3 linked regions of the Macaca mulatta genome follow. Each later gene encodes a partner of the first gene's protein in a complex. Links are inferred from orthologs where the notes say so. Each region holds a gene or a part of one and is shown in the gene's direction. Other genes may lie near its edges.

Region 1 (3,743 bases):
AAAGGAAACAAAGTGTCATTTCAGACTTCATTGTGTTTGCCCTGGGTAAGAACATTCACTTCTACTAAATTCACTTATTCTGTTCTCAGAATCTTCCAAGTTGATTTTGTACTTGATAGAGCACAACTTAGAAGGTCAATTAACTTTACCTCTAGGCCAGTGCTTCACTCACCGTAATTTCTCTAGCAACTTCATCAGTCATCTGGGGTCTTGTTAAAAATACAGAGGAGGGGGCAGAGGGAGGGCAGGGGCCACCCTGGACTTTTTCTAAATCTCTTGGGGGTGAGGTTGGGAAAAATTGCTGCTTTAAGCATGAACACTTTCGGGATTTTGAAGTAAAACAGCAAAATAAAAAGGGTATTTTTGGTAGTGGCTCTAAAATTCCAGCATCAATACAGCTTTTTTTTTTTTTTTTTTTTTTTTTTTAAGAGGGGTGTATTGTGGGGGAGGGGGAATCTTAAATTATATAATCGGGATGGGTGCTATGAAACAGGCTGTTAGCCTCTAGCCCTCACCTGCAAGGTGGCTGGCTTAGGGTAGGTGCTTGATAAATGTGTATTTACTGAACACAGGAACACATATATTCATAACTTCCAAGAGTTTCGAAAGTCTTTCTGCTCCAATCTTCCGGTGTCTAGGCAGCAGCATCGCTGCAGAGTGGAACAGCAAAGGCGCGTGGAGTTTGCAGAATGAGTTCAAACCTCCAGACATATCAGTTAGCAGTAAGAACAAGTTCCTTCATCTGTCTCCATCTATAATGAAGGAGTACAATTACCACTTACTTCCTAGAGTTGTTGGGAGCCTTAAGTGAGATTATTATAAATAGATTATCAATGAAATATAAATTTAAGTGCTTAGAACTGTATCTTATAAATGAGCTCCACAAATGCTTATTAAAACCCAAGCGGTACCCTCTCCCCTTAACATCAGTGATAGGTCCCTTTATACCTCCTACCCATTACGGGCCAAAACAATAATAATAATAATAATAATAAATGAACAAACGACAAACGAGAAAACTAGGCTACCAGGCACTGGGGCGATGGGCCGCAGCCCGGCGCGGTCGTGGGCCCGGAAGGGGCGCGGGAGTGGGCTCTCCCCGCCGGGCTCCCGGCACGTGGTCGGCTCGGGCGGGAGCTTCGCGGCAGTGGGGGAGGGGAGCAGCGTGGGACGCCGACAAGGGGTCCAGACCGCCAAGGCTACGAGGCGCCGACTGCGCAGGCTCGGGGAGAGGCGCAACCACTGCGCGCAGACCTGAGGGGGGGCGAACGTTCACCCGGCTGCACGCTCCCTGGATCTACTTGCGCAGCGAAAGGTTGTCTTCTTCCTCATTTTAAGACTGTGTATGGCGCCGCCTTGCGCAGGTTGTTCACCCTCAGAGGGCCTCTAATCTCGAGCCCGAAGCGACCTCCTTCTCCAGCCGTGCCCCTTCCTCCCCCGCGGAGGCCGCAGTGGGCGCGCCCACCTCCCTGCGGCCTCCGGAGGTGGTTTGGTGGCCCCCTCCCCTCTCCCGTGTCGCTAGTTGGTGCCGCTGCCACCCCCGGTTCCGAGCTTTCGGCACCTCAGCCTTCCCGGCGCCCCCTCCTCTCCTCCCACCGACCTGCCCTTCCCCGCGGGACTACCGCCCCCACGTTTCCCTTAGCCCTTTTCTCTCCCGGCCGAGCCGCGGCGGCAGCAGCAGCAGCAGCAGCAGCAGGAGGAGGAGCCCGGAGGCGGCGGTGGCCGGGGAGTCCATGGCGTACAGTCAAGGAGGCGGCAAAAAAAAAGTCTGCTACTACTACGACGGTGAGCTGCGGGGCCGGTGTCCGGGTGGGCGCGCGGGCCGGGTGCTGGGTTCCGCGGCCGCCGTCGCGAGTGGGCGCCGGAGCTGAGGGGTGGGAAGGAGGAGGGACCGACATTTGGCCGCATCTTAACCCGTTCCCGGCCCGGCGCGGTTAGAACGAGACCGTCTTCCTCGCGCAGCACCCGCGGCTCCTGCGGGCGGGAATCGGGGGGCCGCCCCGCTTGTCTCCTGCCTCTCCCCCTTCGTCCGTGCCGTCCGCAGCCTCGAAGGTGGCCGCTGCTGGGGACGGCGCCGGCCTACCCCGCCTTGGTGGTGGCGGGGAAGGGGGCGGCCCATTCTCTCCTCTCTCCTGCCCACCATTCGTGGCAGCGCAGGTTTGGGGTGCCCGGCGTAGGCTTTCTATCCCCTCGACCCGTCCCCCGCGAGGCAAAATTTCTACCCCGGCCTTGACTCTACACAAAGCCCCGCGGCCGCGAGAGCTCCGCCCCTCCTGTCCCCTTCCCCCCTCCTCGCCAGCTCGCCTCCCCTCCCCTGCGTTGGGTCTGGCCGGAGCGTCTTCTCCTTCCTCGGCTTCCAGTCTTTCCCCGGACCCCTCCTCCCGGGTGGGCGCTGGAGAGTAGTTACTGAGGGTGGGGGCTCAAGTCCGGCGTGTGGCTTTATCACACCCATGTTTTACGTGGGCTCCAACCCTCTCCTTTGTTCGCCGGATTCTTTGAGCGCCTCTTTCTCAGGATTCAAATGGACGGGCTCCACTTCCTCAATAATAGTTCGGATTTTCCAGTTTCAGGCAGAAAGCCTTCGCAGGAAGTAAGAGGTGGTAGGGAGATGTGGAACTGCTACTGCTTGTGTTGTAGATCACACTCGATGGGTCCTGGCTCGCCTCTGAGAGTGGTGGTTACCACCCACTTCTTTGTTGCTCTTTGTTCGATCGGGAAATCGACCCTGCTTTGGGGATTTAGAGAGCACTGGTATCTTGCAAAGGCTGTTCCTAGGTGGTGGGCATCCTGGTGTGGGAAAACTTTGAGAAGTGGGAGAAGTGCAGAAGTACTAAATATTCTAATAAGGTAAATTTGAGCTCACCGTGTAGTGAATTACAAAAGTCAGATAATTTTAAGCATTCTATAATTTGGAGTATGAGCAGTAATATTAAATCTTCGAATCCTGTTTCGTGGCTGAATGGAGTAGTAACCTGTTTTACAGATTTCACAAAGGCTTGGTAAATAGTTTCTAGTAGGTTACTCTTGAGAAAAAGGATTCCAAAATTTAACAGAGAACCTATCCTAGGCTCCTTGACCTGAAAGTCCTGATTTGTATGAAGCAATACAAATTTTGGAAGCTGTTTCCTACATTTGGTGTATTGTAAATCACAGTATCTTAGAGAGGTAAGAACCTAGAGCACCAGCTTAGAATAAATCTGCCTTTAACTTGTAAATGGCCGTACTCTCTTTTTAGTTAAAAAGGATTAATCTTTTAATGACTCTTATATATAAAATAACCACCTGTGTCATTTGGAGAAAATCTGAAATCTTACAGAATAAATCTGAATTGTCTGATCTGCGATAGCTAGGACAGAATAATAACAGCCCTTTTAAAAAATGATTTTTCAGAGGACCAGATATGTGTTATATAAATTGATTTGAAATTATGCCATCGTGGAGGGGTGGAGATGGAAATACATTTTAATTTCAACATGATTTACATTGCATATTTTGGGTTATTCTTGCCCTGCATTCCTTGATCAAATTGGAAAGGAAGTAACCCTGTGTATAAGTTAATTTGTAGAATTACCTTGTTTATGAAGTTTAGAGATTTATCCTTGTCAAGGGTTGGAGTAAAGAGGAAAGGTTTTGGGTAGGGAAAGTGGTACTGAGGTTCTTCTGGAAGCTGTCAGTTGCTGTTGGTAGTGATGGGCTCTGATGAAGGAAGCTGCTTGTAATTTCTTGTCACCACAGTGGAACCC
Region 2 (3,743 bases), on another chromosome or scaffold:
GGGCGTGGGGGGTAAGGACTCGGAGGGAAAGGAGTGGCCCCGTTGGTCACCGGTGCCACGCTGGCTCTCCTGCTCGAGTTTTGGGCCTTGTTTGCAAACGTTGACTTCATAAACCTCCCACATCCGAAGTAGGACCCATAAAAACGATATTTAAAAAAACCTTGGACACTGAGGTGTAGGGGCAGGAAAGGGTTAATCGTCAGGGTGCTGAGGGAGAGTTGAATTGCTCACTTGTGGGCTCGGAGTCCCAAAGAGCAAACAGCCACTGTTTTCTTCTCAAACATTCTCACCTCCTCTGGGGTCCGCAGACCTTACAAAGACGGGCTTTGTTGCCAGGTAGGACTGCCAGCAGCGTTCTTCCTCTGGCCTGTGGGGAGGGCAGGGGCTGGTGTTGCCAGCCTGGGCAAGGCTGACAGCTCAGGCTTGACCTGGTGTCATTGGGGCCGGGGCCTTAAACTGGGACCTTCAGGGTTTGGGGTCACAGGGATAGCGGCACTCACGGGGACCCCTGAAGTCCTGTTCTGAGCTGGCTGCACCTGTATTCAGCTTTTCTTCTCTTTCTTCTGTGGAGAATTTCAGGAGTGCCGAGATCCCCAGATCTGGGCTTTTTGGTGCCCCTCCCTCTCCCCCATGGACCCTTTTGCAGAACCCCAGCTCCCCTCCTGCCATTTGCATCCAAGATGGACTCTCCGCTGCTGCCGCTGCTCCTCCGGCTTCCTTGTCATCATCCCTCACGCCCTGCAGCCCTGCCTCCTGCTCACGGGTTGCCAAGCCGCGGCCTGGCCGGTGGTGGCAGTGGCGGAGTTAGACAAAGCCCCCGCCTCCCCCGCCCCAGAGCCCCCCAGGCGCCCCAAGTGGCGGGAAGGCCGCCAGCTCCCCAGGCCCCGGCGCTCTTTGTCTGGCGTGGGGGCGGGGAGCCGCGCCTGGCCCCAGGAGCTTCCTGGCCTCTGCCAACCCCTCGCTCCTGCACACTGCGCTCATTGTCTGAGATGCGCCGAGACGGCCTGCGCTGACGTGGTCCCTGTGTCCCGGTCCCTGTGTCTGCAGGAAGGAGTGACCATGAGTGGAACTCGGGGCATTTCCGCCATCTCTCTCCAGGACTAGACACCCCCCACTCAACCCTGAACAAGGGACTGGCCTGGACAGAGCATTGGAGTCACCGAGCTATTGCTCCTTGTCCCCCCAGCCAAAATGGGACAATTTCTCATTCCTCCTTCCTCTCAGCCCCGCAAAACCTAACCCCAGTATCATCAAATAGTAGGGTCTGGAGCCTGTAGACCTTCTCTTGGGAAGCACTGCCTCTAACAAATGGAGAAACTGAGGACTGGAGGGCGGGGGGCCTGTCTGAGGTCACACAGCCAGGAGTGGCACAGCTGGGGCTGGCGCCAAGTCCAGTGGGGAGGACAGAAAAGGAGAGGTGAGGAGCAGTGGGCAAAGCAGTTGGGGAAGAGGACGGGGGCACACCGAGTTGATTCGAGGGTGCGTGGGAAGTGGCTAGCGCCCCTCCTGCCAGGCTGCTGGGATCTTGCAAACACCCAGGGTGCTGTGCTCTATGGTCCCTCCCAGAGACTGGCCCTCGAGGCCAGAGAGGTGTAGCTACCAGGATCGAAACCCAGGTCTCTGCCAGCAGAGCCTGTGTTCCCCATGCCACGCTTGCTGCCACATCAGAAGCTCAGGAAACTGGGGTTTGGCTGATGTGGTGAGGGGGCGCTGGGGGACATCGCCCTGCCCAATTCCTGCAGTGGCCGTGGACGTGCCGGATATCGCGGGCGTAGTGCTTCCCCATCCCAAGCCGCCCATCCCTGTAGCACACGTGTCTCGTCATCCCCATGTGGGAGGCATGGAAACTGAGGCTCGGAGTGGCATGGTGCTTTGCCCAGTTCAGGATCCAAGTCCACGTTTCCAGGTCCAGCCCAAGCTGGAGCATAACCCTGGGCTGCAGTGGTGGCATCCAGGGCTGGCCTGAGACTCAGGGAGACAACTCGGGACTGTCCCCGCTCCCGGATGCTCCTGGACAGAGGGGCAGGTGCTGAGGTAGCTGGCTCCCTGCATGGAGGGGCAGGTGCTATGCTGTGTGCCCTGGGGCAACTCCCTCAGGTCCATGTCTCTAAATAGAGGGGCCTGGAGCCAGGGTTCTCCAGGGCTCCTCCCGGCTCCCCCAGCCTGAGGCCCTGAACTTCCTTCCTCCTCTGCCCCTCCCCTCACCCACACCAAGTGAGCAGCTGGTGGGTTTGGCCAGCCTGGCACCAGCTGTCCATCCCCGAGGCCAAGTCTGCAGCGCCCGCTGTGTGTGTGAGAGAGAGACCGTGTGGCTCTGGGGGCGGCAGGCGGGCAGCTGCCGAGGAGGACTAGGTAAATTCTCCATGGTTACCGCTGTTTGTCATTCTGCAGGATATCCTTTACCCGCTAATGGCCACTGGGACGCCATTGCGGGGCCGCGTGCTCCCAGCCTCAGACTCCCCTCCCAGATCCAGGAGGCTGCGTTCTGGGCTGGGCCCTGCTTGGTCACTGACTGCAGCCCTGGACAGGCCCCAATGTTGCATCCCATATGTGGGGCCTCAACCCTCCTCTCTTGGAATGCAGAGCCGTTGGGACATAGACTGCCAAGAGTCTGGTCCCCCTTTGGGGAGGGGGAGACAGGCACAGAGAGGTTGAGGGGCTTTATCTGGGGCACACAGAGGCCGTGGTGTTCTCTAGATTCCTAATTTGATGTCCAGCATGCCTGTCTCCAGCCAGGGTTGGGTCTCAAATACTCTAAGGCCTTCCCATCTTCCCCGTCATTGAGCACAGCAGAGATTTCGGTGCATAGGACAAAAAGGCTTGGAAGCTCCGCTGGTTTGGACCAGCCTCCATGGCAGTGGGCTCTTGTGGTATGATGTGGCCTCTAGGTTTTCATCCTCTGGGGCCAGGACACAGGGAGAGGGGATGGGCAGGGATGAGGCCAGGAGTGGCAGTAATTTTATCTTTGGGAGCAGCCCTGCTGCTTGGAAGGTTCTGGTTGGACAGGACGGAGCTCTGTGAGGACCAGCAGCTGCTACAGAGCTGGGGATGGCCGAGTGCCTTGTAGCTACATTTCATTATCCGTCTTCTACACTGGTCAGACTAGAGGTGGAGAGCAGGGTTCTCTATCCTGCTACAGTTGGTGGTGTGGGTCCTGGGCAAGGGCCATTGCAGGACCTGGAGTCCTTGCCTTGGTACAACTGGCTGAGCTGACTCCTGGCCTCTCTCTCCCCACCCCACAGCTGGGAGTGTCCACTCTCCTTCCACCAGCATGGCGTCTTCACAGTACCGCCAGCTGCTCAGTGACTACGGGCCACCATCCCTAGGCTACACCCAGGTATGGCAATGGGGGTGATGGCATGGTGGGAGGGCTGGGGGGAGACATGCTCCCCACCATCAGAGGAGAGAAGCTGGTGGAAGAGACGAAGGAGCAGAAAGTATGGGACAGAGCTTTCTCAGCCCAAGGCCCTGACTGGGCTCCGGCTCAGAACACATCAGAATGGAGGGCACTGGGGACTGTGTTTCGCAGGGACGTGTGAGGTGGAGCGGACAGGAGAGCACCAGGAAGGGGCAGCAGCCCGAGCTGCGCTGCGGCCCCCACCCCACGCGCTCCTCTGGTGGGTCTCCTCACTTCTCTTTCCTGGGCAAGTGAGGCCTGGCCTTGACCCTGGCTCTCCAAGCTGGGACAGAAAACGGCCGGTTCCCACTTGCTCTCCACGGGCGTGGGCCCAGCAGAGAGGAGG
Region 3 (3,743 bases), on another chromosome or scaffold:
AGGCCCTTCCTCTAAGTTCCAATGAACCCTGTCCCGTTCTCCCTTGTGGCCACTGACTTACTGCAATGTAAGGAAGATGTTGCTTCACTGTCTCAGAGAATAAGGCCTCCTTGAGTACAGAGGCCATGGCCTGTTCATTTCTTTAACCTCAGGGTTCAGTACAAAGCATGAGATGGAGGAGGGAGTCAGAACATGGTTTTTGTGTGGTTTCTTGGGTTTTGTTTTTGTTTTTGTTTGAGACGGAGACTTGCCCTGTCACCCAGGCTGGAGTGCAATGGCACGATCTCGGCTCATTGCAACTTCTGTTTGAACGATTCTCCTGCCTCAGCCTCCCGAATAGCTGGGATTACAGGTGCCCACCACCACGCCCAGATAATTTTTGTATTTTTAGTAGAGACAGGGGTTTCACCATGTTCGATCACGAGGTCGAACTCTTGACCTCGTGATCAGCCTGCCTCGGCCTCTCAAAGTGCTGGGATTACAGGCGTGAGCCACCGCGCCGGGCCAGAACATGTTTGTTGGATGGATGGATGAATGAATGAATGAATGAATGAATGAATGAATGACTGTCCTGGAGATTAAGATCTACAAAGCTGGGAGCATGAAGGTACACAAGGCCAGAGAAGTCTGAGTTTGGGGAAGGAGCCTGGGAGAAAGGGTTAGTGAGTGGAGGAGGGTCTGAGGTCTAAGTTTATGGCGAATGAGATTTGAGGGGAGGGGTCTGAGTGGTGGAGTGGAAAGGTATGGGGGCCCTGGAGTGGGACAGGAAGCTCTTTATGACTATTCATTTAATCCACACAACCCAATGAGATTGTCATTTTCCCCATTTTACGGATGGGGAAACTGAGGCATACTGAGGTGAGAAACTTGCCTGGGGGAAATCGCTAGTGGGGGTGGTACTGAGATTCGAACCCAGGCGGTTGGCTCCAGTCTGTGCTCTTGACCAATTTGGTCCGGGGCCCGGCACACAAGTAATCCCTGTTTGCCCTACGGCCATTATCACTAACTGAGGCAGCGGCGCGGGGCCTTGGGGGTGAGGGCAAAGGGGTCCTTGAGGTCGCCCTTGGACCTGAGGACAAGCCAAGCCTCAGGAAGAACGGTGCGCGGCGGCATAGATGAAGGGCCCGTTGCCATGGGAACAAACGCAGGCCTCGGGCGGGCGCATGCGCAGATCGGGGAGAGGGTGTTGAACCGGTGAAAGGTGACGTAAAAGCGCACGGGGTGGGGCGCGGGGCTCGGGACGTCAAAGCCCTGCGTCCTTCGGCCCCCGGAGCAGAGAAGCGCGCACGGCAGCGGTGACAGCGGCCACGGCAGCGGCGACAGCAACCCCTGCTGGGCCGAAACTGGGCAGAGCGGAGCAGACGTCTGAAGCAGCGCTAGTGAGGCGCGAGGGTGGCGCCCGCGCCCGGGAAGACACCCTCGGCGCGAACCGGCGGCCCAGCCCCGGGTCCGGGTTCCCGAGGCCCCGCCTCTAGGGCCTGGGGACTAATCGGATTGAAAGCGCGCCGGCCCGGGCCGCGAACTCGCCAATTGCGGAGGGCGGTGGCCACCGCCCAATCCGGAGCAGACAGGTGCGAGGTCCGGAAGGCGGAGGCCAATCGGCGGCGGTTGCGACCTGCTGGGGCAGGTCTCGGCCAATAAGGAGGCTCGAGTGACATCTTCGCCCACCAATCGGGAGTGAGGGAGCATTCGTGCCCGCTCGCCCTTCCGGCCAGACCTCTATTTACCAGGGGCGTGCAGCCCGCTTGCCAATCAGAGCGCGGCTGAGCGGCCCGGCAGCCAACCCCCGAGGAGCGGCCGGCTGGCGTCCGCCGCGCCCAGGAGTTGGGGATGTCCTACAAACCCATCGCCCCTGCCCCCAGCAGCACCCCTGGCTCCAGCACCCCTGGGCCGGGCACCCCGGTCCCTACAGGTGAGGATCCAGCTCCACCCCTGCTCGCCTGCCGGGCGGTCGAGGTCTCGAAGAGAAGACGGCCTGAGTTCTGCAATACTGGGCTTGCCGCCTACCCTCGCTGAGCCTCAGTTTGCTGGCCTGTGAAGTGGGCGTGGTCACGTAAGGGCTTGTAGGTGGAGCGCAGTGGGAGGGATTTGTCCCTGAAGTTGATCAGCCTGGAATGAAGCATCCTTTGGAGGGAATCGGGCGAACCCGGTCCTGGGCTTGGAAAAGCTGGGAGGCGGCGTCCCTGCCCCGCGCTGACCTCTTACTCGCGCCTGTTGCTGCAGGAAGCGTCCCGTCGCCGTCGGGCTCAGTGCCAGGAGCCGCCGCTCCTTTTAGACCGCTGTTTAACGACTTTGGACCGCCTTCCATGGGCTACGTGCAGGTGAGTGGGGCCAAAGGCTTGCTTATGGATGGGGACTGGAGTCCCCCTCCCCGCCAGGTGCCTGAGCTCACTGCCCTGTTCTCTTTTGACATAGGCGATGAAGCCACCCGGCGCCCAGGGCTCCCAGAGCACCTACACGGACCTGCTGTCAGTCATAGAGGAGATGGGCAAAGAGATCCGGCCCACATATGCTGGCAGCAAGAGCGCCATGGAGCGCCTGAAGAGAGGTAAGTGAGGCCAGGCCGCCCTGCTTAGGAAACCGACACTGGACTATCTTCCATTAGGGAAAGAAAGACATCCGGAGGCCACCTGAGCCAAGCCTAGAGGAGGGCCAGTATTACTACCCAGAGAGGTGTTTTGAATCGAATTGAAATTGCGTCCATTTCCAGGGAAGAGCCTGGGAATTTGTACTTCTACAGGGCAACCTTGAGGATTAACCAAACCTCTAATCTCATCTAGCCGTCATTAGTTTGGAATTTCTCTTGCTGAAAGGGGAAAGGGAGTGGGGAGGCAGGGGTCCTCCTCTGGAGGGCAGTGGGTGGGGCTGTGGAGGGTTGCTGAGACCCCACCCCACCACCAGGTATCATCCATGCTCGGGCCCTAGTCAGAGAGTGCCTGGCAGAGACAGAGCGGAACGCCCGCACGTAACAGGAAGCGCCCCGGCCTCAGCGTCTGGACCTTTCCCGGCCACTGCAGAGCACCCGCTTCTCCCTGGCCTTCATCCCGAGTTGCACTAACCATCCTGGGCTTCCTGTCCTGTGTCCCTTGGTGGGTCCCCTCCAGGAACCAAGGAGCGGCTCTCCAGGTGGCAGCACTAAGGACATCCCCCCACAACAAGAGTTAGCAGCGAGGTCCCCATGAGTCCCACCCATGACCTGCCAACAGTGTTGCCCACCGGAACTTTCTGTGGTCCCCACCGCTCAGCCCTTCCCAGCCCTTCTCCCACTTTGTCCCGAGCCTCCTTCTCCCCCAGCAGGGGCTCAGGCCTGGCACCTCACTGCCTTGTGTCCTGAGCCATAGTGACTCTTTTATCTGTGTGTCTTTTGCTAAATATGCCCTTTTTATATTAATAAAAGATGATTTGGAGTTGTGCTCTCAGCTCTGAGCCTTTCTGGGTCTGGTTCTTCAGCTAAACCTGGGTGGGCCAGGCAGAGAAAGGGGAAGAGGAGACTAGGAGTGGGGAGGGTGTGACTAAACAGGGTTTGACTTGCCTCTGTGGGCCATCAGCCTCAGGTGGGAACCGGGCCCTCTCCGCCCCAGCCGTGGCGCTGAGAGCCCTGGGCCTTCCTGTGGTGCCACCAGGGGGCAGCACAGGGCCTGGCTGCTTCCACAGCCCTTGGCGCTATGGGCAGCCTGGGCCTGGAGGGCGCTTCCTCTGGATTGGCGGTGATGCCTGGCAGCATGGAAATGCCAGTTCACGTA

What was found.
Region 2: HDAC2 (region 1) and CDK2AP1 share a complex: the UniProt entries of both Homo sapiens proteins name them as parts of the nucleosome remodeling and deacetylase (NuRD) repressor complex. The link is inferred for Macaca mulatta from reciprocal best matches to the Homo sapiens genes HDAC2 and CDK2AP1.
Region 3: HDAC2 (region 1) and CDK2AP2 share a complex: the UniProt entries of both Homo sapiens proteins name them as parts of the nucleosome remodeling and deacetylase (NuRD) repressor complex. The link is inferred for Macaca mulatta from reciprocal best matches to the Homo sapiens genes HDAC2 and CDK2AP2.

The regions. Positions count from the first base shown.
Region 1 is NC_133409.1:19,038,269-19,042,011, reverse strand, and holds the start of HDAC2 (histone deacetylase 2), read left to right. Parts: upstream 1-1,520; 5' UTR 1,521-1,733; coding exon 1,734-1,785; intron 1,786-3,743. UniProt on the Homo sapiens protein: Histone deacetylase that catalyzes the deacetylation of lysine residues on the N-terminal part of the core histones (H2A, H2B, H3 and H4).
Region 2 is NC_133416.1:130,673,184-130,676,926, reverse strand, and holds the start of CDK2AP1 (cyclin-dependent kinase 2-associated protein 1), read left to right. Parts: upstream 1-1,241; 5' UTR 1,242-1,308; coding exon 1,309-1,417; intron 1,418-2,198; exon of another isoform or gene 2,199-2,352; intron 2,353-3,242; coding exon 3,243-3,337; intron 3,338-3,743. UniProt on the Homo sapiens protein: Inhibitor of cyclin-dependent kinase CDK2. Also acts as a component of the histone deacetylase NuRD complex which participates in the remodeling of chromatin.
Region 3 is NC_133419.1:6,872,758-6,876,500, forward strand, and holds CDK2AP2 (cyclin-dependent kinase 2-associated protein 2), read left to right. Parts: upstream 1-1,365; 5' UTR 1,366-1,830; coding exon 1,831-1,912; exon of another isoform or gene 1,913-2,063; intron 2,064-2,069; exon of another isoform or gene 2,070-2,114; coding exon of another isoform or gene 2,115-2,223; coding exon 2,224-2,321; intron 2,322-2,415; coding exon 2,416-2,548; intron 2,549-2,901; coding exon 2,902-2,969; 3' UTR 2,970-3,397; downstream 3,398-3,743. UniProt on the Homo sapiens protein: Acts as a component of the histone deacetylase NuRD complex which participates in the remodeling of chromatin.